3 linked regions of the Nothobranchius furzeri genome follow. Each later gene encodes a partner of the first gene's protein in a complex. Links are inferred from orthologs where the notes say so. Each region holds a gene or a part of one and is shown in the gene's direction. Other genes may lie near its edges. The genes, in order: eif4a3, upf3b and casc3.

Region 1 (7,216 bases):
AATTATCAGGTGATTAGATATATTTGAGAATTGAGTAATTATGCTGCCTAGACGTAGTAAAGCGTCATCTGCATATAAACAAATTTTATGTTCAGTTGATTTAATTTGGATTATTTTTAAGGGTCAGTTGGATGAGCTGTTGCTTCTGGGGCTTCAACAAAGATGGAGTTATCTTTGTTAGATGCTTCCAGCGTACTCAACTGTTTGTCAGATGTGGCAGATTAGGATTATTGGTGAGCTATTTCATTTCTTTTGCAAGGAAAATTATTTTTATAGTAAAGTTTGTTGTAAAAAGTCAATATTACTGATTTGAACAGTGATTAACAAAAGTAAACGATGCGAAAATTGTGTGCCTCTAAATTTTGTTCTGGTGCAGCTGAGAACTCACCAGTTCAACCTGAGAGAGCCACAACAAGAGGCTCCGCCTCCTGGGATTTTGGTGAGGTCAGGAGCTTTTATTGTGACAGAACCCTTAAGAGCTCCCTGTCTCTGTTACAGCGACTCTTCCAGTGTCCATAGTCTCCTCGTGTTCCTCCTCCTCCTCGGTAACGGGTCACATGATGTACCCTGGAGGTCACGCGGTGATGTACGCCACACCATCGTCCTCACTGACCGACGGCAGCCTCACCGTCCTCAACACCTTTCCCTCTACAGGCCACGCCCAGTCACATGACCCAGGTATGATGCAACGGAAAACGTTAAAGACAAATGTGTCCGCGTCAGAACGTTGGAGTCAACGCAATCCCGTTTTTGTGTTTTAGCCGTCATCCCGCAGGTTTTCCTCACCTCTCTGCCTCCTGTCGCTGCTCAGATCCCAGTCTCTGCCGTGCAGCTGCACCCGGTAACACACACACACACACACACACACACACACACACACACACACACACACACACACACACACACACACACACACACAATGTTTATTATTGTTTTAGTTTTTTATTGTTAAGCTTTACGTTTATCTGTTTTTATTGTTTCTTTTATTGTTGTTGTGTTATTTGTTGTTTACTGTAGTATGTCTTCTTTTGTTGTTGTTCGTTGTTTGTATTTGTTATTTTTGTGGTATCTGTTGTTTTGTTATTGTTTAGCTTTTGAATGAATTTGTTGTTTATGGTTTGTTTTGTTGTTTATTTGTTGTTTAGATGGTCATCAGCCAACAGAACAACAGCAGCAGCCTAGCGGAGCTGCAGGTTGTCAGTCTTGACGTCCACCAATCAAAGGACGATTGAGGGTCACATGACTTTCCCACCAGCCTTGTTGCTGATGGGCAGCAGAAGGTTCCAGCTCTTTATGACGCCACGTGGTCAGGTCACTCACCTGAGGACCAGGTCTAATCATGAGCCCCCGCCCCCTCGATGGGACTGAGAAGACAGGAAGTGGGAACCTGTTTTTCAAAGTTGAAGCCCCTGAGATGAGCCAGCTGTAGTCTCGGTGTTGTGATTTAGGTCTTTAGTTTTGTCAGGATTTAAACCTTTCCAGGTTTTCAGTGTTTGGTGTTCAGAAGCTTTCCAGACAACTCACCTGTTCAGGCTCTGCAGCGATGACCTCCAGCCTGATCTGCTGGACTGTGAGACGGGACTCGAACTAGACCCCGTTTACAGACCGCTGATGCTGCCTTTAAGGACACTCCGTTAACAAGAAACTGAAACTAGATCGCTAGACAGATGTGATGCTCAGCATTCACGTGTGTGTGTGTGGGGGGGGGGGGGGGGGGGTGTCTTCAATCAGGGATAACTGACAGGAAGTCATCTTCAGATTAAAACTCATCCTGTTCGTCGGACTCTACACGGATCCCAGTCCCATGGTCCAAATGAATGTTCTGCTGCATTTGCTGGTGTGGGCAGGGTTTCACAGACCTGACGACAGTCCTGGGACACGCAAACTCCACCAGCTGATGGATGAGGCACCAATCAGGATGGAGTCCTCACATCTGTGACATCTGTGTGTATTCCTGACTCTCTTGAAGACATCACTCCAGACCTATCCCTGTAAAGCCTTCAGGAATACTTCCTGCTGGATCTGGAGTGGGTAACTGGTTTGGGATTAAATGCCATCGCAGAAACTCTGAACAGTACTCGGTAGTCTGTACACAGGTTTCCTGACCACAGGCTGTAAACATGCATGTTATAGGTTAACCCTAGGTATGACTGGTTGTCTCTGTGTGTCCCTGTGATGGACTCGAGACCTGTCCAGGTGTCCCTAGCTTCTTGCCTGACATAACCTAAAACCCTAGTGAGGATCAAGCGGTCTGATAAACAAGTGTGCACCCTCTAAAGGGGGTTTGACTGTAGATTTGATGCTAAACATGAACCCTCTGGAGTTTCCTGAGCCTGACAACAAATGACTCGAGCACCTGTTGGAACTACGTCACATTTTTGTTGGACTGAAACATTGAACCACCTTTAAATAAAGAGTTTTGTGTTTAAACTGGATTTCTTTGATGGCTTCATGTTAATAACGCCTGTTATAGTGCAGATGGTTTTTAGAGAAGGTGCTAGCTGTTATTAAGGTTATATGACTGACTGGAAGGGATTTCCAAATCACTTATCTCTGCTGTTTGGTAAAAAAAAAAAAAAAACTAATAAAATGATTTTTTTCCACAAAGTTCAATGAATTCTTGTCAAGAGTTAGCCTCTACATAAACCGGTCTAGTTCTGGTAAGGACTGGATCAGAGGGAGTTTGGTTATTCCTGGTTCTGAGGCTTTGTCCGGTAACGTGTGTTTTGAGAGGAATGAGGCTCCAGACCAGATCTCAGATTTTTTTCCCACAGTTTTCTTTAAAAAATAGCTATGTGTCTAAACTGTTTTTATCATTTCTGAAATCACTCCTATTCTGATGTCGGCACTGGTTCGCTTTAGAATTCCTTTTATAATCCTGACCGTAACCTTCAGGGCTCTATGGTCAAGCTTCTCCCTATATTACTGAACCAGTAAGGCCATGTGCTCCAACCGAGCCCTCAGGTCTACAAACCAGAACCTTCTAGAAGTTTCAAAAACCAGGTCCAAGTGATGCCTTTTTCCAGGATGTTGTACCCTCGACTTTGGAATAAATGAACTTCCTAAATCTTGTGTTAGCAGTCTGGACACCTTTAAAAAGCAGCTAAAGACTAATTTAAAATAGCTTTTGATTAAACCTTTAGTTTTTCTTTTTTGTTTTAATGAACTTGCATTTGTTTTAAGATCTCTTGTTTTTAATGTTATTTATCTTTGTCTTTTAATTGTTTTAAATCTGTGGATAATTTAGTAATTTTTTAGGGGCTTAAAAAATAAACTACTTGTAAAAAAGTTTTTTTTTTAATTTCTTGTGATTCCAGAATTCATTTCCAGAACAAACTGCAGCCTGGTTTAAAAATCTCTGGATTATTTTAACCCTACACCAAAACCTCAGCTGTAAATAAAAGTCCATAAATATTATTATGACGCGCTTTTACAGCGGGAGACGCACAGCGCGTCGCCTGTTGAATACGTCACCACCAGGGCGACACGCGCGTGTGGCTATTGGCTATTAGCAGTTAGCAACGCCGCGCAGTGAACTGTTGATACCGGAGTCGGGAGGTTTTGACCGAACAAAAAGGCGCTAGGAAGATGGCTTCTGCCGGGACACAGGGCAGGAAGAGGCTCCTGAAAGAGGAGGACATGACCAAGGTGGAGTTCGAGACCAGTGAGGAGGTGGACGTCACTCCTACGTTCGACACGATGGGGCTCCGGGAGGATCTGCTTCGCGGGATTTACGCTTACGGTAGGCCGGGGATCGTACGGCCTCCAGAGGGAAGCTCGAGCCGCCCGTTGTTCGGTGTCGAGAAGTGGTTTGGATTAAAACGATTGTTTAGGGACATTTTTATGTTAGTTTCTGCTTATTTAACCATTTGTTGGTAGTTAGGGTCATACCGGTCTGATCTGGACCCGGACCCGGACCATCGGCGGATTTAGGAGTGAAGAAGCCCCGGGGCTTTATCCAACTGCGTGATGGAGGTTTTTAGCCTTTCCAAAACATTTTAGCTTTAAAAAAAAGTCATTAATCTATTCTAAACGTTCATATATATTGTTGGTCTGTGAACAGTTCTGAGAAAATAAACCTTCTGGATTAGTTTTTATTGTCTTTATGTGAAAGTCGAGTATTAAATTGCATTGTACAAATTAGGGATGCACCGTATGAAACTTTGGGCCAATATCGGATATAAATGATGCTATTATGGCCGATAATCCATCTCAACCACCTCACCCTCTCAGACTGATACTTAAAGTAGGGACTTGGACTTTTTTTTTTTTAAGTCGGCCCAGTTTAACTTATCAGACCGACATCGAAATGATAAAAAGTTACTAACATCAGCCGATACTGATGCTGATATATCGTGCATCCCTGCCTGGTGTAAATATTTTAATTGCTTCCCTGCTGCTGCTGTAACTGAGGCTTCAGCAAACTCCGATTCAACCACAGCTGAACCCAACGATCTGGTCATTTTTGAGTTAAAACAGCTGCTGCATAGAAAGTAAATCTCACTGATGGACCCGAGCAGAAGCACGATGGAGATGCGTGGAGTCGACAGATCTGGTGGACCTCCTGACTGATTCCAAGTCTTCGTTCTGTTTCAGGCTTTGAGAAGCCGTCAGCCATCCAGCAGAGAGCCATCAAACAGATCATCAAAGGGCGAGACGTCATCGCTCAGTAAGTAGTCCATGTCTGGTCTCACCACTGACCAGGTCCTGATGGGGTCTAACTGCTGGTCTCTGCTCCTCACAGATCTCAGTCTGGAACTGGAAAGACGGCCACCTTCTGTATCTCTGTGCTGCAGTGTCTAGACATCCAGGTGGGTGTTCAGCAGCAGCCAGAGCTGCGGTCACGAACCTGAACACCCACCACCCAGTAATCGGGGGTGTTGCAGGTTGCTCGACCCCAGGGTTGGGGTTAGACCTACTCATCTACCCGTGATCTTGTCTATAAAAACGTTTTTATTTGTTTTAAACTCAACTGTTCTCGGCTGAAACTGATGACATCATGCTGTGATGCGTTTCTTGTCACAGGTGAGGGAGACCCAGGCTCTGATTCTTGCTCCAACTCGAGAGTTGGCTGGGCAGATTCAGAAGGTAATCCTGTCCCTCCGTCACACCTGCCCTTGTTCTGGTGATGCGTGGCTGTTTCTGATTGGTTGCTCGTCTTCTGTCCAGGTGCTGCTGGCTCTGGGAGACTACATGAACGTCCAGTGTCACGCCTGCATCGGAGGGACCAATGTGGGAGAGGACATCCGTAAGCTGGACTATGGTCAGCACGTGGTGGCCGGCACTCCTGGCCGTGTGTTTGGTGAGTCCTCCTCCATCTGCATCATAAAGACATCACCTGTGACGTCATCGTAAATCTACCTGTTGGAACTTGTCGGACCTGTTCGGTTCCCATGGTGCTGTTGTGATAGGTGCTCAGTTATGAACTGACTCGTGGTGTTGGTGCAAGTATACGAATCCAACTTGCATCACGGCAGAATAAGTCAGACCAGATCCAGAACCTGGAAGTTATTGACCCCCCTCTCTTCTGTTCTGGTTCTGGACCTGAGTTGTGAGAGCTGTAATGTGAGTCCAGGAGATAGCCCAAGCCTATAGCTTGCCCCTTTAGCTTGGCCCAGTGCATTATGGGCTGTTTTGTCACATAGTGTCAGAAGTTAGGGATGCACCGATCAGGTTTTTTGCTGCCGATCACCGATACCGATCACCGATACCGATCACGTGGATTGGCCAGAAATTTTCTACAACATTATAATGAGTGCTACAAACTACATAATCTGGGAATAAAGGAAATGCAACCTAATCTAAAATGGTCTGTATTAGGGTTGTCACGGTGTGAAAATTTAACCTCACGGTTATTGTGACCAAAATTATCACGGTTTTCGGTATTATCGCGGTATTTTTTTTTAAACGTGCTACATTTTCACACAATTAAATAAACCCTGTATGTCAGGAAATATTGTCCTCAGTTTGTGTCTAAATTTTGCCTAAAATGTGTTATTTTGTAATTATGTTGTTTATTTGTTTACATTTTTCCCCTTTGGTCTTTAAAATACCAATATTTGCCCATAACTTCTTATTTTATGTCTGTTTGATGTCATCATTTTAAAAATATTAGACCAGATGATACTCAGTACTCAAGTAGACTTCTAATCAGATACTTTTTTACCCTTACTTGAGTAATAAACCCTATATCAGGAAAATATCGTCCTCGGTTCGTGTCCTTCCAGTGAGCTTTGCAGATGTGGGAAAATGTCATCAGGCAGTAATCGTTGTTAAATTCATAATTATTCTCGGAGAGAGACCAACTCTTATCTGCCCCTGGGAGCCCCGTAATGCATAGCGTCATTTCAACATGGCGGTGTCCGCGACACGGTTTATATGCAGGTAGCGGCGCTGCGGCTGCTTTATATAGCGACTCGTTGCGTTCTCCCTCAACCCAAATCCTCGGATCACACATTTGAGCTAAAACGCTAACGTTAGCTTGCCTTGCGTTGACTGTAGAGTTGTGGGTGATGGTCACGCAGATGTGTCATGAGATTTGAAGCGTTGCTGCCTTTCACAGACACTTTTTCTGCACGTGCTGCAAACAGGATAGCCGTCTTCCATAAACTCCCTCGGCATTCTTCAAATATCTAAAATATGCCCGTACTTCCGACTTTGTCTTCTTTGAGGGATAATAAATGTCCTCCTGAGCGCTGCCGTCTCCTCCTTTGACCATTATTTCAGCTTTAGCTTCAAGAAAGTTTCTTTGTAAACAAAGCGTGCGTCTGTGCCGCCGGCAACTTCAGCCGATGATACGGTGGCTGGTAAGGGTCACCGCGCCTACACCGCAGCCACGGTAAACCCATTGAGATAATAATAGTTTTTTTTAAAAACAAGACTGTTATTATTATTGTCAACCTTTTTTTTTTACCGGGGTTTACCGCTACACTGGTTACCGTGACAACTCTACCTGATCGGATTGCTTTGATCTATTTTGAAAATTCCGATCAAAACCGATAGGGGCGCTATCGGCCAATTACGATCAAATACCGATCCATCGGTGCATCCCTATCAGAAGTTCATTTAGACCCGGTCCGATCAGAACTGGGCACCTCATTGCGTCATGACCATGTGATCTGTTTTGCTGAATTGCTCCTGGCTGATTGGTCGATGATGTCAGAGTTGATATCTGACCGCTTGTCTCTTCGCAGATATGATTCGGCGCCGGAGTCTG
Region 2 (7,216 bases), on another chromosome or scaffold:
TCTCTACAACATTGCGTGGTCATCGGGGGCAGTTCCTAGGGAGTGGCAGACCGGGGTGGTGGTCCCCATCTTTAAGAAGGGTGACCTGAGGGTGTGTTCCAACTATAGGGGGATCACACTCCTCAGCCTCCCTGGAAAGGTCTACTCCAAGGTACTGGAGAGGAGGGTCCGATCGATAGTTGAATCTCAGATAGAGGAGGAGCAATGTGGTTTTCGTCCTGGCCGTGGAACTGTGGACCAGCTCTATACCCTTGCAAGGGTGATGGAGGGGCCATGGGAGTTTGCCCAACCAATCCACATGTGCTTTGTGGATTTGGAGAAGGCTTATGACCGTGTCCCCAGGGGCACCCTGTGGGGGACGCTCCAGGAGTATGGGGTGGGTGGCTTTCTGTTAAGGGCCATTCAGTCCCTTTACCAGAGGAGCGTGAGTTTGGTCCGCATAGCCGGTAGTAAGTCGGACCTGTTCCCAGTGAGGGTTGGACTCCGCCAGGGCTGCCCTTTGTCACCGGTTCTGTTCATCACTTTTATGGACAGAATTTCTAGACGCAGCCGAGGTGTGGAGTGTGTCGAGTTTGGTGGCAGGAGAATCTCGTCTCTGCTTTTTGCGGATGATGTGGTCCTCCTAGCTTCATCCAGCTCTGACCTTCAGCTCTTGCTGGGTAGATTCGCAGCCGAATGTGAAGCGGCTGGGATGAGGATCAGCACCTCCAAATCTGAGACCATGGTTCTCGACCGGAAAAGGGTGGCTTGCCACCTCCGGGTCGGGGGAGAGGTCCTACCTCAAGTGGAGGAGTTTAAGTATCTCGGGGTCTTGTTCACGAGTGAGGGTAGGAGGGATCGGGAGATCGACAGGCGGATTGGTTCGGCGTCTGCAGTGATGCGGACGCTGAGCCGATCTGTCGTGGGGAAGAGGGAGCTGAGCCAGAAAGCCAGGCTCTCGATTTACCGGTCGATCTACGTCCCAATCCTCACCTATGGTCATGAGCTTTGGGTAATGACCGAAAGAACGAGATTGCGGATACAAGCGGCCGAAATGAGTTTCCTCCGTAGGGTGGCCGGGCTCAGCCTTAGAGATAGGGTGAGGAGCTCGGACATTCGGGAGGGACTCGGAGTAGAACCGCTGCTCCTCCGGATCGAAAGGAGCCAGTTGAGGTGGTTTGGGCATCTGGTCAGGATGCCTCCTGGACGCCTCCCCGGGGAGGTGTTTCGGGCATGTCCTGCCGGTAGAAGGCCCCCGAGTCGACCCAGGACACGTTGGAGAGGTTACATCTCCAATCTGGTCCGGGAACGCCTTGGGGTCCTGCCGGAGGAGCTGGTGGACAAGGCCGGGGAGAGGACGGCCTGGAGCTCCCTAGTTGGGATGCTGCCCCCGCGACCCGGACCCGGATAAGCGGAGGAAGACGACGACGACAACTTTCAATGCTCTACATGGTCAAGCTCCGCCCTATATTACTGAACTGTTAAAGCCTTATGCTCCAATCCGAGCCCTCAGGTCCACTCACCAGAACGTTCCAGATGTTCCAAAGACCAGATATAAAAGTCGAGGGGATAGCTCCTTCCAGACTGTTGCACCCCGACTCTGGAATGATCTTCCTTTATCTTTATGTAGCATTGACAGTTTAGACACTTTTAAAAAAACAGCTAAAGACCCTTTTATTTAAAGCTACTTTTACCTAAATCTTTTATTTTCTTATTTTTAACTCAAAATTAGAAATCATCTTTCATCTGTTTTATGGTATTTTATCATTTAATGACTTAACTTTTCTGTTTTAATCTTTTTTTAAGATCATTATGATTTTATGACTTTATGATTTGTTTTGTTTTGATCTATGTGAAGCACTGTGGTTTTCTGTCTTTGATGAGTGCTATATAAATAAATTTACTTACTTACTTTACTAGATGATGGATGGATGGATGGATGGATGGATGGATGGATGGATGGATGGATGGATGGATGGATGGATGGATGGATGGATGGATGGATGGATGGATGGATGGATGGATGGATGGATGGATGGATGGATGGATGGATGGATGGATAGATAGATAGATAGATAGATAGATAGATAGATAGATAGATAGATAGATAGATAGATAGATAGATAGATAGATAGATAGATAGATAGATAGATAGATAGAGTAACTTTATAAACAGATAAAGATACAATTTGGTAATACTATTAAAAGATAAATAAAATAAAAGTATCATCCATCCACTCTCTATACCTGTTAGTCCATGCAGGGTCGTGGGATAAACGTATCACAAAATACATTAATCAAATACATAAAAGTAACGAACAAGGAAAATTTGAAACACAAATAGGGAAACAATGCAATGTTTCCAATAAAAAGATGTCTAGTGTCACTAAGTGGACAGTAGACATATCTCAATCTTAACTTTACATCAGACTTAACCCTAGCTCTACAAAAAAATTTACTATAGAAAAATATTTTAGAATGGACATTAACAAAAATATAATTACCAGTAATTACCGAAAATAGTAATTACCAAAAACATTTTTTTTTAAATGTGTAATTGCTTTGTATTTAGCGCCACCTCCTGGTAAAAACTTGTAAATGCAGCTTCAGTAGTCAGAAAGGAAGTTTCGAGCGGTTAGTATCTAGCTGCTAGCTGGCTAACTCTCTGAAAAGTAAACAAGTCTGTTGAGTGAGATGAGAGCAGGCTGTGGATCTCTGTAGACGTTCAGCTATGAAAGAAGACAAAGAAAACACTCGACCGAAGGAGAAAAAAGTGGAGCTAAAGTGTGAAGATGGAGAAAAGACTGAGAAGTCAAAAGAAAAGAAAGAGGCCATGACAAAGGTAAAACTTGCTAGCTAAAGCAGCTAATGTTGCTACAGACGTCAGTTTTGGATTCGTGTAGTTCTATTAAATAAAAGCATGGTTTAACTTTTTTGTTTTGTTTTTGTTTTCAGATAAAATGTTCTACGATTGAAATTATACATTTAAAGACTGGACCAAAATTTCATTTTACAAAGCCCTGCTTAGTAATTAAGGTAGTGAACTTTTTACAATGTGTTCGTAGATTGTAATCAGACGATTACCACCAAGTCTGTCTAAAGAGGAGTTAGAGGAGCAGCTGCAGCCTCTCCCAGAGGTGGACTACATGGAGTTTTTCTCAAACGACACCAGGTGAGTTCACCTGTAAAATGACTGTTAGCATTTCCTTCATTGTGTTGGTCTAACATGGCACTTCCGGTCATTTTAGCCTGTATCCCCATCTCTTCGCGAGGGCTTACATCAGTTTCAAAAATGAAGATGATATTGTTCTCTTCAGAGATCGATTCGATGGATATGTGTTCATAGACAACAGAGGTATCAAGAACACACACCCAGTTTTCTGTGAAGTGTTCCAGAGCGTTGACCTGAGACTGTCCTTGTTTATGTTTGGCCATTCAACAGGACAGGAGTATCCAGCCATTGTGGAGTTTGCGCCGTTTCAAAAGATAGCCAAGAAAAGAAGTAAGAAGAAGGACTCGAAGTGTGGAACAATTACTGAAGGCAAGGGTTTAAACTGTCTGGTGGTTTTGATCTTCTCTGTTATAAAAAGAAATAAGCTTGAAGAAACTCCATGTTCGTCCCTAACATATCTATTTTGAGATCTATCTATAAAAATCTATAGCTCAGCATGTTTGTGTTTTTATCAGATCCTGATTATAAAAAATTTCTTGAATATTACAACGGAGACGAAGAGAAGCTGACATCTACGCCTGAGACCTTGTTGGAGGAGATCGAGGCCAGATCAAAAGAACTTGAAGGTTTGTTTATGACAGCACCGTTATCACTTGCTGTGTTTGTCTTCAAATTCCATTTTTGGTTCTTTTTTTAAACACAGATAAGGTTTTTCTTTACCTTGCTGACGTTTCGTTTACGGCTGCAAACATCTTCAGAGCTGCCGCTGATGTGGATGTGTAGGAAGTGACGCCACCATCAGCGTCAGCTCTGAAGATGTTTGCAGCCGTAAACGAAACGTCAGCAAGGTAAAGAAAAACCTTATCTGTGTTTAAAAAAGAACCAAAAATGGGACTGTTATAACTGCTTGTATGTAAACAGGAGCATTGCATTTGACAAGATTTCTTATTGTGGGTTTCTTCCCCTTTCTTTTAGCTAAAAAGACCACGCCCTTGTTGGACTACCTGAAGAATAAACAGGTAAGCATGTGGTAATCGTTTTTTGGTGTTTAGGATAAATTGGTTCAACTGCATGTTAGCAAGAATCCATCAAACTTTCTATTTTAACTTTCAGAGAATCAGGGAGGAAAAGAGAGAGGAGAGACGAAGGAGGGAGCTTGAACGCAAGCGCCTGCGTGACGAAGAGCGTCGCAAGTGGAGGGAGGAGGAGAGGAGAAAACGGAAAGAGGCTGAGAAGATGAAAAGACTTGAGAAACTGCCGGAGAAAGACAAGGACCACGTTAAGGAAGAACCAAAAATTAAGGTTCGTGCAGTGAAAAAAAAAAATGCATCTGTCAATTTCAAGTTTCTCATGATGATTGTGTCTTTATATTCAGCTCCTGAAGAAACCAGATAGAAATGATGAAGCAGAGTCTGAAAAGCCTAAAGAGAAGTCCAAGAAACCAGAGAAGCCACATAAAGAGGTCCGGTCATTCAGTGATCTGAAGAGGAGACATAACATCGAGAACAAGGAGGATCGTGAAAGAAAGTCAGTTCTTGTTCTTTTTTTCCTGGCATTTTGCACTTTTGTTTGTACATTTAACTGATTTAACTCCAGCTGTGATTTCCTTTTAGAAGAGATGAAAGTGGGAGAAAGGAATTCAGGGAGCGGGACTTTGATCGAGACAGAGAGCGGGAGGAGCGGCGGCAGAGGGAAAAGGAGCGCTTCAGACGGCAGGACGAGGAAAGACGGAGGAGGAGGGAGCAGCATGATGGAGAGAACACGTTCAGGAAGCGGGAAGAGGAGATTAAAAAAGAAAAGGCGTTGGAGAAGAAGAGGAATGAAAACATGGCAGATTCCCCTCGCGGTGAGAAAACGGAGAAGGCTGCCAAAGAGAACAAAAAGGATGAGAGCAGCAAAAGGGAGCGACTGCGGAATAAGGTACGGACTCCAGTTATTTCTCACACTTGTGCCAAATAATTTCTGAGTTTGTTTTCCTTTTGTAATATTTTATTTATATTATTTGCAACAGGACCGACCCGCCATTCAGCTTTACCAGCCAGGGGCCCGGAGCCGCCACCGTGCCACACCAGGAGCAGACAGAAGAGAATCCAACTCTGCCGACAGAAAACCAGATACTGAGAGCAAGAACGTGGCTGAGAAAGTAGACGACTGAGCAGACCTCTGCTTTTGTTCATTTGAGTTAGGTGAAGAGACAGGCCTGCGAGCAGCAGTATGGCGTCTCGGAGCCACGCGCTCCACTGATTAAGCAGGGCTCCCAGTTTCGGAGGCAGAGGTGTGATCCTCTTTGGTCTGTGTTAGGAGAAGAAACGATTCACCTTCTGAAGGAGTTTGGCTGTAGGGCACATTCAAGGAAGCCAAAGTTTTGGGGACCATGTGATGTCAAAGTGAACTTAATTCAGCATTATCGCTTTGGAGGAAAAGTGTTTTACACTCTGCAAAAAAGGTGCCTTCACGCTCGTTATCTAAATCACTCTAAAATAAATTTATAATGTTCACTATGTCAACACGTGGTTTCTTCAAGGTGATTTCTGGATTTTTCTTGTGAGATATTTAATAGTTTGAGATAAAGTACCTATGCATCATAAACTGATCTGGTCTGGGATTCTGTGGTATGCTTGTTACTATGGAAACCTGGAGGAGAATTAGCCATTTCTAAGTAGACTGCCACGTGACCGCATGTATATAAACAATCAGTGATAAACATGTGGCCTTATCCCTTTTTTATTACTAATATGTCATTAAAGGTGATACTGATAAAGAGGCTACATTTCTGACTAAAAAGTCTTTGCAAAAGTTGATTTTTCTACTTTTTTGCGTCGTATATTTGACGTTGTGTTCCCGGAGATAGCAAGCTTCGTTTTCATGCAAAGCTGCTTGTAGTTATTATTTTAATAAAAACTTCATTATAATAAACTCCTTCAATTGTAGAACAGCTTTCAGAAAACGAGGGCACACTCCAGCACCCTATAAATCAAAAATACCTGACTATTTCTACAGTGATGTGTACACCCGCCCACTCCTCGGCCGATGCAGTTGCTGCATGCGAGCAGTTACAACGTTTTGTGGAGAAGCTCCAGACGGCTCACCCAGAGGCACTCATTCTCATCAGTGGGAATTTTAATCACACCTCGGTTTCCTCCACTCTCCCCACCTTTACCAAATATTTGAAGTGCCACACCAGAGACAGTAAGACAATTGATCTCCTGCACGCTAATGTGACAAAACACACACACTTCCACCTTCCGTTCGGCTGCTCAGATCACAACCTCATTCATCTGATCCCTGAATACATACCCAGGGCAATTAGGGCACCTCCTCAGTGAACAATCGTGAGAGTGTGGACTGAGGGAGCAACAGAAAGGCTGAAGGACTCTACACCACAGACTGGGAGACACTTTGCAGCGCTCATGGCGATGGCCTTGACAGCCTGACACACTGCGTAGAGAACACCGTCCGAACACGAAGAATGAGGTGTTTCTGGAACAATAAACCCTGGTCGACCCCTGAGCTGAAATACATGCTGAACGATGGCTGAAGATAAAGAGGAGCAGAGACGAGTCCAAAAGGAGCTTAGATGGGTCAGATCAGATGGGGGAAGGTTTTTTTTTTCAAGAAGAAGCTGGAGCAGAACACGGTGCATGGAGAGGTCTCAGGGACATCACAGGACACAGTGGGAGGAGTGGTGCCAGTGAATCTGCTGAAAGGGACCAGAACTGGGCCGATGAGCTTAACCTGTTTTTTAACAGATTTGATGATGGAGAGACTCATCCTCACCCATCTATGTTCAGTGGTGAGCTCAGAAATAGACCCACTGCAATTTGCATATAAACCAAACATGAAGGTGGAGGACACGTCATCTACCTGCAGCACCGGAATCTGACTCACCTCGAGATGCAAAAAAGCACCGTGAGAGTCATGTTCGACCTCAAGTGCCTTCAACACCATCCAGCCGTGTCTACTGCTGAAGATTAGGAGTGCAGCAGTACAAACATCTGACTGCATGGACCATCAACAACCTCACCAACAGGCCACAGTATGTGAGGCTGCACAACTGTACATCTG
Region 3 (7,196 bases), about 3.9 Mb from region 1:
AATAATTTTCTTTCAATAAATAACAAAAAAATTTAAAATATATTTTTTGGTTTTTGTTTTCAATTTTTCACGATTCTTCCACTTAGACCTTGTTTTCTTTCTTTCATTTTTTTTATACTCAAGGTGTTTAGTCACGCTGCTTTTACATTCATTAACAGTTTGACCTTTGACCTCTGTGTTGCAGTGAGGTGCTAAATTTTGACCTTCTGCACATGATGCCTGAAGAAGAGTACATTTCCTGTTTGAGACTGAAATCTATTTTGATGCCTCTTCTCCCTGAGAAAAAGATCGTCTCTGATGAGCGTCAGGTGAAACACCTTGAGGAGGAAACGGTCGTAGGACTTACAGACTCTGTAACATGTGAATAAACTAATTCTTACATTCAGCATCTTGAAGAGAATTTCTCAGTAAATTTCAGAGGGATGATTTATGTTATGAATGCTGACTGAGAGATGCCACTTTAATGATGATGAACTCATAAAGTTTTACTTTTTAAACCTGTTTGATGATGAGATGTATTCATTACAAGTTTTGTCAGAACCAAACTGTTGAAGTTCTGTTTATTTATTCTGCTGGAGTCAGATAAAGCCAACCAACTGATTGGTTATTTAGCAATGTTTAATTTAGTGATGTTTGATTTCTGTTTTGAGAGATGAGAGTCTGTGCAAAACAATAAAATAAATCATGTTTAGTTTTAAAAGTCTGAATCTGAAATGAGTCAACCACAATGAGATCAATTGACGATGAAATGGGTCAAGGTCAGCTGGATTTTCTGGGGTCTGACTCTTCTTTGACCCGTGAAACATATGGTAAATGGCCTGCTCTTGCATAGCACCTATCTAAGCCAGAGGACGCCAAAGCACACGCATACACATTCACACAGATTGAGATAAATAGCCACAGCTATTCTGGGGTTCGCTGAAAGAATTGAGGTTACGACCTGATAGGTGCCTACGGTCCCTCAGACTATCCAGGAGGCAAGGTAGGTGAAGCATATTGCCCAAATGGCCTGTTTTTGTATAATGCCTCGGTTCAACAACCCTCCAAGGCGCTTCACAACATAATCAGTCATGCCCCAATTCACACACTCATTCACACACACATTTACACACACATTTACATGCTGGTGGGGATGAGCTACAATGTAGCCACAGCTGCCTTGGAGCATTATCCCTTGTACTGCTTCGTTTTCACACGGAACAAGACCTCCCACACACATGCGCGTGCACCTGGCGCGCACACACACAGTCTGATGCGCAAAATACGGAATGCAGAAAATTAGCAAGGTGACAGATTGATACAGAATGTCATGCGTAAGTGACAATGTAAGTGTCCTGTCACTGTGACCCGATTGATCATGCGCCCTGGCTACTTGTACAAGGAAGATCTCTGTTTGGCTGACTGGTTAGCACGCATGACTTTCATCCGGGAGTCTGGGGATTGAATCCTGATCGGATCATTTTTTTAATATCCGCCACAGATCTCTCTGAAGAACTCAGCATTGACGGCTTCAGCAACGCTGTGCCACTGAGTGAATTTTCTCTTGTTTTACAAAAGCACTTCCTTTCATTTCTCCACCTCACCCACAGGTACCTGAATTTCTGCTTGTGAAAGAGCGCTTCCTTGATCTGCAGTCGTGATCGAAATGCTGCAACAGCTGGCTTATGTATATGCATAAGATTCACAAGGCACTTTGCATTGACTATTTATGGCAGTAAGTGGGCGTGGTGAGGGCGGGATGTGACTAAAATGCAGCTGAGAAACATTCTCATTATTCTCCAATTTATGAAGCGGAGATTGCGTGTAGCTGTGCGTACTCCATGTTTGATAGATCATAAACCTACTTGGCGTAAGTACATTTTTTTTTTGCTGAGCTTACGGTTTTAGTAAGGATTCTACGCAACGTTTGATAAATGAGACCCCTGGCCTTTTCTTCACCCTCTCTCTGTGCATAATTAAACAGAGGAAGAGTCTGGCAGGCCAGGCCAAGGGGCTTCTACCAGAAGTGAGCAAATCCTCATTGACTCCCATGTTAAAAATGCCATTTTCACAGCAGAAAAAAAAAACATGTTTACAGCCTGGTTAAAAAAATCACTTTAGGTTTAATAGATCTAGTTTACATTCATGACAACTCTGAGGGGGTGATTTTTTGTCACTCTTCTGTTTAAAGTGTAATTTAATGCTTAAAATTCTGAATAATTAATGAGCATCAGAGCCACGTGACTTCAGAGCACATGTTAATTGACAGTTCTGCATTCCTGACATTGCATAAAAGAGCCCCTTCTAGCCTGTAGTTTTATACATATTTTTAGCATACTTACCATAAAGACGACCCCCCCCCCCCCCCCCCCCCCACACACACACACACACACACACGCCACTATTTCAGTTTTTCAACTTACTTCCGATCTTTGGACGTTCTCTAGTTGGCATCTTCTTAGAAAATGAGGGCAACAATTTGATTCCCAGCAGTTTTTTGTAGGTTACATTGTTGATTTAACGTGCAGGTGTTCCAGATTATTCATACTTTTTTGTAACGGCTAATATGTGTAAAAATTGCTTTAGTTTATTCACGTACACGTTCAAATTAAAATAGTTATTACATCGTTGTTGTACTAATCATTTCCAGAGGGCGGCAGTAGACATCAAAGAGCTGGGAGAATTTGCTCTCCAAAAGAACACCATTACCCATAATGCGTTGCTTTTTCCGTTACTAACCATTCCAGTCCTAAGATGGCGGACCGGCGGCGAAGGAGGAGGCGCGCGTCTCAGGACAGCGAGGACGACGAGTCCGGTTCTGGTTCGGACAGCGGAAGGTCGGGTTCTCCCGTGACAAAGGCTCGAGGTCGAGATCCCGAACCAGTGGAGGTGACAGAGAGCCGGACCGAGGCGAAGAGCGACGTGGAGTCCGAGTGTGTGAGTAGCTACTCAGGCTAACTCCAGCAGCTAACGTTGGTCCGTCCATCACAAAGCTTGGAATTCGGGCTAAAAGTTCTGACTTATTCCGCTTCCAGAAAAACCTTAAGGCTCTCTAGAGGTACCATTAGGTTCGACGTGACTGTGGGTGATTAACTAGTTCATCAGTAAGGAGATGGGTTTTGTCGTTCATTCGTAGTTCGATGATCTGAGACGAAAAGGTGGCAGTTGAACCACATTTACTCGGGAACAAAATGTGACATAACACCGGCTCAGTCCCAACAGTCTCTCAGAACCGTTACTGGAGAATAGAGGATGGTTACCTGAGGTCCAAGTGGATTCTTCTGCCGAACCAAGAGCTAAAAGTCACCCTGATATTCGCCTGAGTCTGCGGCTCCACGCTGGACTTCAGACCCGTGGTGGTTCCATTACATCTAAAGACCCTGTTAGTTCTGATTAATCACAGATTAGCCCCAGTTGCACTAAGGGGCGTTACGACATAGATAAAATCTCGTAATCACAAATCAGAATACTCTGATTCAGAAGATGCGCGAGGCTGGATTCCCATGACTGAGTAGCTTCACCCAGGCAGTCATTGACCCTCACCCATCAGGGGACTGAGGGCTTGACATGTCTCAAGGCCTCAGTGTCCACTACATTTTATGTCATTGGGGTACCACCCTTTAGCTACAGGCCTTACTTGTTCATCTGCATTACACTTGGTTACATTAAGATAAAATGTGTCAAATGAATTATTTAGGGGTTGATTTCTAAATAATTGTTCGTGAGGACATTATCACTTCAAAATGTATTGGGGATAAACATGTTTTGATACCCAGGTCTCAACTAAAGAAGATTTTTACCATCAAGTAAAACGTGCTAACGAGAACACTTCTCGCTCTTTGTTAAATGAACTAGTGTCCTGATTAAAAAATATTTTCCATTATTGTCATCTGTGTTTGTATTTGAGCCAACAGTAATAAGGAGCCAAAGTCTCCTACTTGTTCGTTTGGTCCATGGGTCCCTGGAACAAATAAAAAAAGAATGCAAGTGAACGGGGCTTTAAAAGCTATGTTCTAATCTGCTTTGCAGTAAGCCCTGAATAACTTGTATGTTGTACTTGGAGTTAATTAAAAATGATTTGAGTTTCTTTCAACTGTCAGGTAATTTAAGATTTATTAGCTTGTTAAAATTCATAATTAAAATGATTACAAGTCAGACATCACATATGTCACTGTAAAATTATGAGGAACCTAGCATCCCCTTCACCAGGAAAGAGTCTATCCTGACACCTAAAGGCAGCCAGATTCTTCACGTTGTCATTTTGATCCTGTTTGTCATTGCAGGAGAGTGAAGATGGAGCCGGAGAAGGTAAGAGCCTCTCCTGGTTATCCAGCTCCACGTTAGATTTGTTGTTGGTGATTCCTGATTTTATGACTCTGGCTCTGTTTTGTTCAGCTGTCCTCTCAGATTATGACAGTGCTGATCCGGAGGAAAACCGCTCCCATTCAGAGGTAAATCCAGCCTAACACAACTCCCAGTTTCCTTCCCTCAGACAAGAACTGAGTCTGTTTTTGACTGTAGGATTGAAAAGACGTTCAGATTGGTCAAAGATCTGGCACAACAACCTAAGGATGCCAATTCAAAGACCAAACTGAAGAAGAGATGTTTCTGAAAAATTCTTTTTCCAGGGGGTAGAGGAGGAAGAGGAGGGTTACAGTGAAGAGGAAGCTCCAGCAGCAACCAGTGAGCCCAAACCTTCAGTTGCTGTCGACCCAAAACCGGAGGAGGTGGAAGAGGAAGAGAAGGCTGAGGAGGAAGCAGAAGGACACAGTAAGGAGGAGCCCAAGGGGGAGGACAAGGAAAACCTCACAGGAGAGAGGCAGAGTGGTGATGGACAGGTGAGACTCAGGAAATCCAGATGGATCTGGTCAGCAGGTTCTGATGCATAAACAGCTTTTTAGCTCTTTGTTGTCTTTTTGTCCATGTTCATTTGGCTCAGCTGCTCTGTTCCAGAGCTAGTCTGAGCTTCATTTGACATAATGGGAAGTTTTAAGAGGTGGTTATCATTTGGTTAAATTCTGATAAATTTCTGCACAATAAATAAAAAAATGGACCTATGTAAATTTTGTGTAATTATACATATTTCTGATATTTGTACAGCTTTGAGCAGCTGATATTAACTCATTCGCTGCCAGCTGTTTCCTGACCGATAAAGCCCTTCCCTGCCAGCGGTTTTTTTTTTGTGTGCCATTTTTACTGTTTTTTTAAGAGTCACAGAGCATTGCGCACTAGGATGATGATACCTCTTACAGCAGGAAGAATCCGTGCGTTTCGAGCTTTATCTGTTCTTTCATAATCCGTTATTGAATTGTGATCTGCAGAAGCTTTTCTGGTTCGCGCCACACTTTTTTTATTTTTTATTTATTTATTTATTTGTTTTACAGCAGTGGCCCAAAAGGACCTCCTAACACATGGATTTTCTGCTTCCTGGTCACTTGATGTGTGCCGTATGCAGATGAAGATTGGCTTTAGAGCTGAGATGTTTGTTCTCGCGGTGTGGGGACTCGTTCCTATGCCCACACAGTAAAAAAATGCAAATGGCAGTGAATGAGTTAAACTTGGCCAATTCCATCTTTTCTCTAAAGAACTGGAATCTACAGAATTATAGATGGCCCGATACAGGAATCTGTCTGATACTGTGTCCATCTAGCAGGACTCAGAAAATCCACTTTAGACGGCATTACGCTAAGTGTTACCAGGAGACAACGGCTAACTAAAAAAATGAATACAGTCAAAGTGGTTTTATTAGTGCTCCTCCGTGAGAGCAGGGGTGGGGTGGTTGCACATGTTCCGCTGCTGTTTCTCACCAGTATCAGCTGATGGAGGGCTCTAGTTTCATTGCGCCATTCGTGTCAGTGGACACAGTCAGGGAGGGGGGTGGAGCATGATGCTTAGTCTGGCGGCCCGCCAAGCAAAGCGCTGGGGGAAACCCTGGTGTAAAATTGTACTATAACAAGCTCAGTGAAACGGCAAAGTCACAAACAGTGATCTGCGTTATAGTGAGGAACCACTGCATGTATATTCTCTCATTAGGTGTAAGTTTCTTACCGGGCTGGCTCTTCTGCTGCATCAACTCCGAAATGTTTTGGTCTCAGATGTTCATTTAGAGAAATTGTATTTCCGTGCCATGCTAGATCGTTTTTGCATATCTTGCAGGTCACCCGTCTTTTCACGGCATCTAGAGTAAAGTGTTCCCATACTTTAGATGTTTTTGTTCTGGTTTTTTCTTCACTTTTATGGTTTCTGTTTTTCTCCTGTACCGTTTCATATTCCTCAGTGTGAGCATGCGCGTCAGCCATGTGTGTGGTACGTCATGAAAATCAAGGGTGCCTATTGGCTGATGCTTCTTCTGCTGCTCCACTGTTAGATCAGTGACTCATTACTGCCACACACTGGCTGCAAATTTAACAGCTTGTCTTAAAAATAGAAGACTTACAATAAAACGTGATTATAAAACAACTAGTCGAAGACTAAATAAGTTGTCAACTTTTCCAATAATTGATTATAGATTAGTTGTTTCAGCTCCCCTATACATACATATATATATATATATATATATATAGAGAGAGAGAGAGAGAGAGAGAGAGATAGTTATACATAGATATAAATAGATATAGAGATAGAGATATAGATAGATAGGTAGATATGTGTATATATATATATATATTTTTTTTAATTCTATTGCAAGTTTATATTTGTTTTTCCAGCTGCGAACCCAGCATTGAATCTTAACAGTCATCAAAAGGTATTACATTTCACTGTCAAACCTGGAGCTATCCGTTATAAGAATGTGTGAACTTTGGTAATGTTATTTCATGTTGAAGCAGAGTTATGGTAAAAACTTTTGCAGGAGTCCACCAATGGTCCAGAGACAAAGGCTGGAGGGAAACCAGGTCAGCAGCTTGATGATGATGAAGACAGGAAGAACCCTGCCTACATCCCAAGGAAGGGACTGTTTTTTGAGCATGATGTCCGCGGCCACACTCAGGAGGAAGAGAGGTGAGCTTATCTGGTACTGGTCCTATATCGGCTCTTTGGAGACCGGGTCTAACAAAATCTCTTCTTTCAGACCCAAAGGGCGAAATAGGAAGCTGTGGAAGGACGAGGGCCGCTGGGAACACGACAAGTTCAGGGAGGAGGAGCAGGCTCCAAAGAGCCGTGAGGAACTCATTGCTATTTACGGTTATGACATCCGGAATGGTGGCGGTTCTGGAGAC

The links.
Region 2: eif4a3 (region 1) and upf3b share a complex: the UniProt entries of both Homo sapiens proteins name them as parts of the mRNA splicing-dependent exon junction complex. The link is inferred for Nothobranchius furzeri from reciprocal best matches to the Homo sapiens genes EIF4A3 and UPF3B.
Region 3: the proteins of eif4a3 (region 1) and casc3 are in contact, whole or in part, in a crystal structure (PDB 2J0U), measured with the Homo sapiens proteins. The link is inferred for Nothobranchius furzeri from reciprocal best matches to the Homo sapiens genes EIF4A3 and CASC3. Residues at the interface, in NP_055555.1 of Homo sapiens: Thr178, Arg179, Lys198, Ile201, Tyr202, Tyr205, Arg206, Tyr207, Leu208, Pro209, Pro210, Thr212, Lys231, Phe232; in NP_031385.2 of Homo sapiens: Arg217, Trp218, Glu219, His220, Asp221, Lys222, Phe223, Glu225.

Annotation. Positions count from the first base shown.
Region 1 is NC_091746.1:29,298,414-29,305,629, reverse strand, and holds the start of eif4a3 (eukaryotic initiation factor 4A-III), read left to right. Parts: upstream 1-3,474; 5' UTR 3,475-3,588; coding exon 3,589-3,742; intron 3,743-4,596; coding exon 4,597-4,669; intron 4,670-4,744; coding exon 4,745-4,811; intron 4,812-5,025; coding exon 5,026-5,088; intron 5,089-5,169; coding exon 5,170-5,302; intron 5,303-7,193; coding exon 7,194-7,216. Other genes in the region: serum response factor, read left to right, coding at 499-678, 762-841, 1,146-1,232. UniProt on the Homo sapiens protein: ATP-dependent RNA helicase. Involved in pre-mRNA splicing as component of the spliceosome. Core component of the splicing-dependent multiprotein exon junction complex (EJC) deposited at splice junctions on mRNAs.
Region 2 is NC_091741.1:85,712,510-85,719,725, forward strand, and holds upf3b (regulator of nonsense transcripts 3B), read left to right. Parts: upstream 1-2,584; 5' UTR 2,585-2,710; coding exon 2,711-2,821; intron 2,822-3,044; coding exon 3,045-3,151; intron 3,152-3,227; coding exon 3,228-3,334; intron 3,335-3,421; coding exon 3,422-3,520; intron 3,521-3,666; coding exon 3,667-3,777; intron 3,778-4,126; coding exon 4,127-4,170; intron 4,171-4,264; coding exon 4,265-4,453; intron 4,454-4,526; coding exon 4,527-4,678; intron 4,679-4,764; coding exon 4,765-5,071; intron 5,072-5,162; coding exon 5,163-5,306; 3' UTR 5,307-5,738; downstream 5,739-7,216. UniProt on the Homo sapiens protein: Involved in nonsense-mediated decay (NMD) of mRNAs containing premature stop codons by associating with the nuclear exon junction complex (EJC) and serving as link between the EJC core and NMD machinery.
Region 3 is NC_091746.1:33,207,776-33,214,971, reverse strand, and holds the start of casc3 (protein CASC3), read left to right. Parts: upstream 1-2,690; 5' UTR 2,691-2,733; coding exon 2,734-2,916; intron 2,917-4,262; coding exon 4,263-4,287; intron 4,288-4,374; coding exon 4,375-4,430; intron 4,431-4,607; coding exon 4,608-4,817; intron 4,818-6,829; coding exon 6,830-6,978; intron 6,979-7,048; coding exon 7,049-7,196. Other genes in the region: serine/threonine-protein kinase WNK4, read left to right, coding at 185-187. UniProt on the Homo sapiens protein: Required for pre-mRNA splicing as component of the spliceosome. Core component of the splicing-dependent multiprotein exon junction complex (EJC) deposited at splice junctions on mRNAs.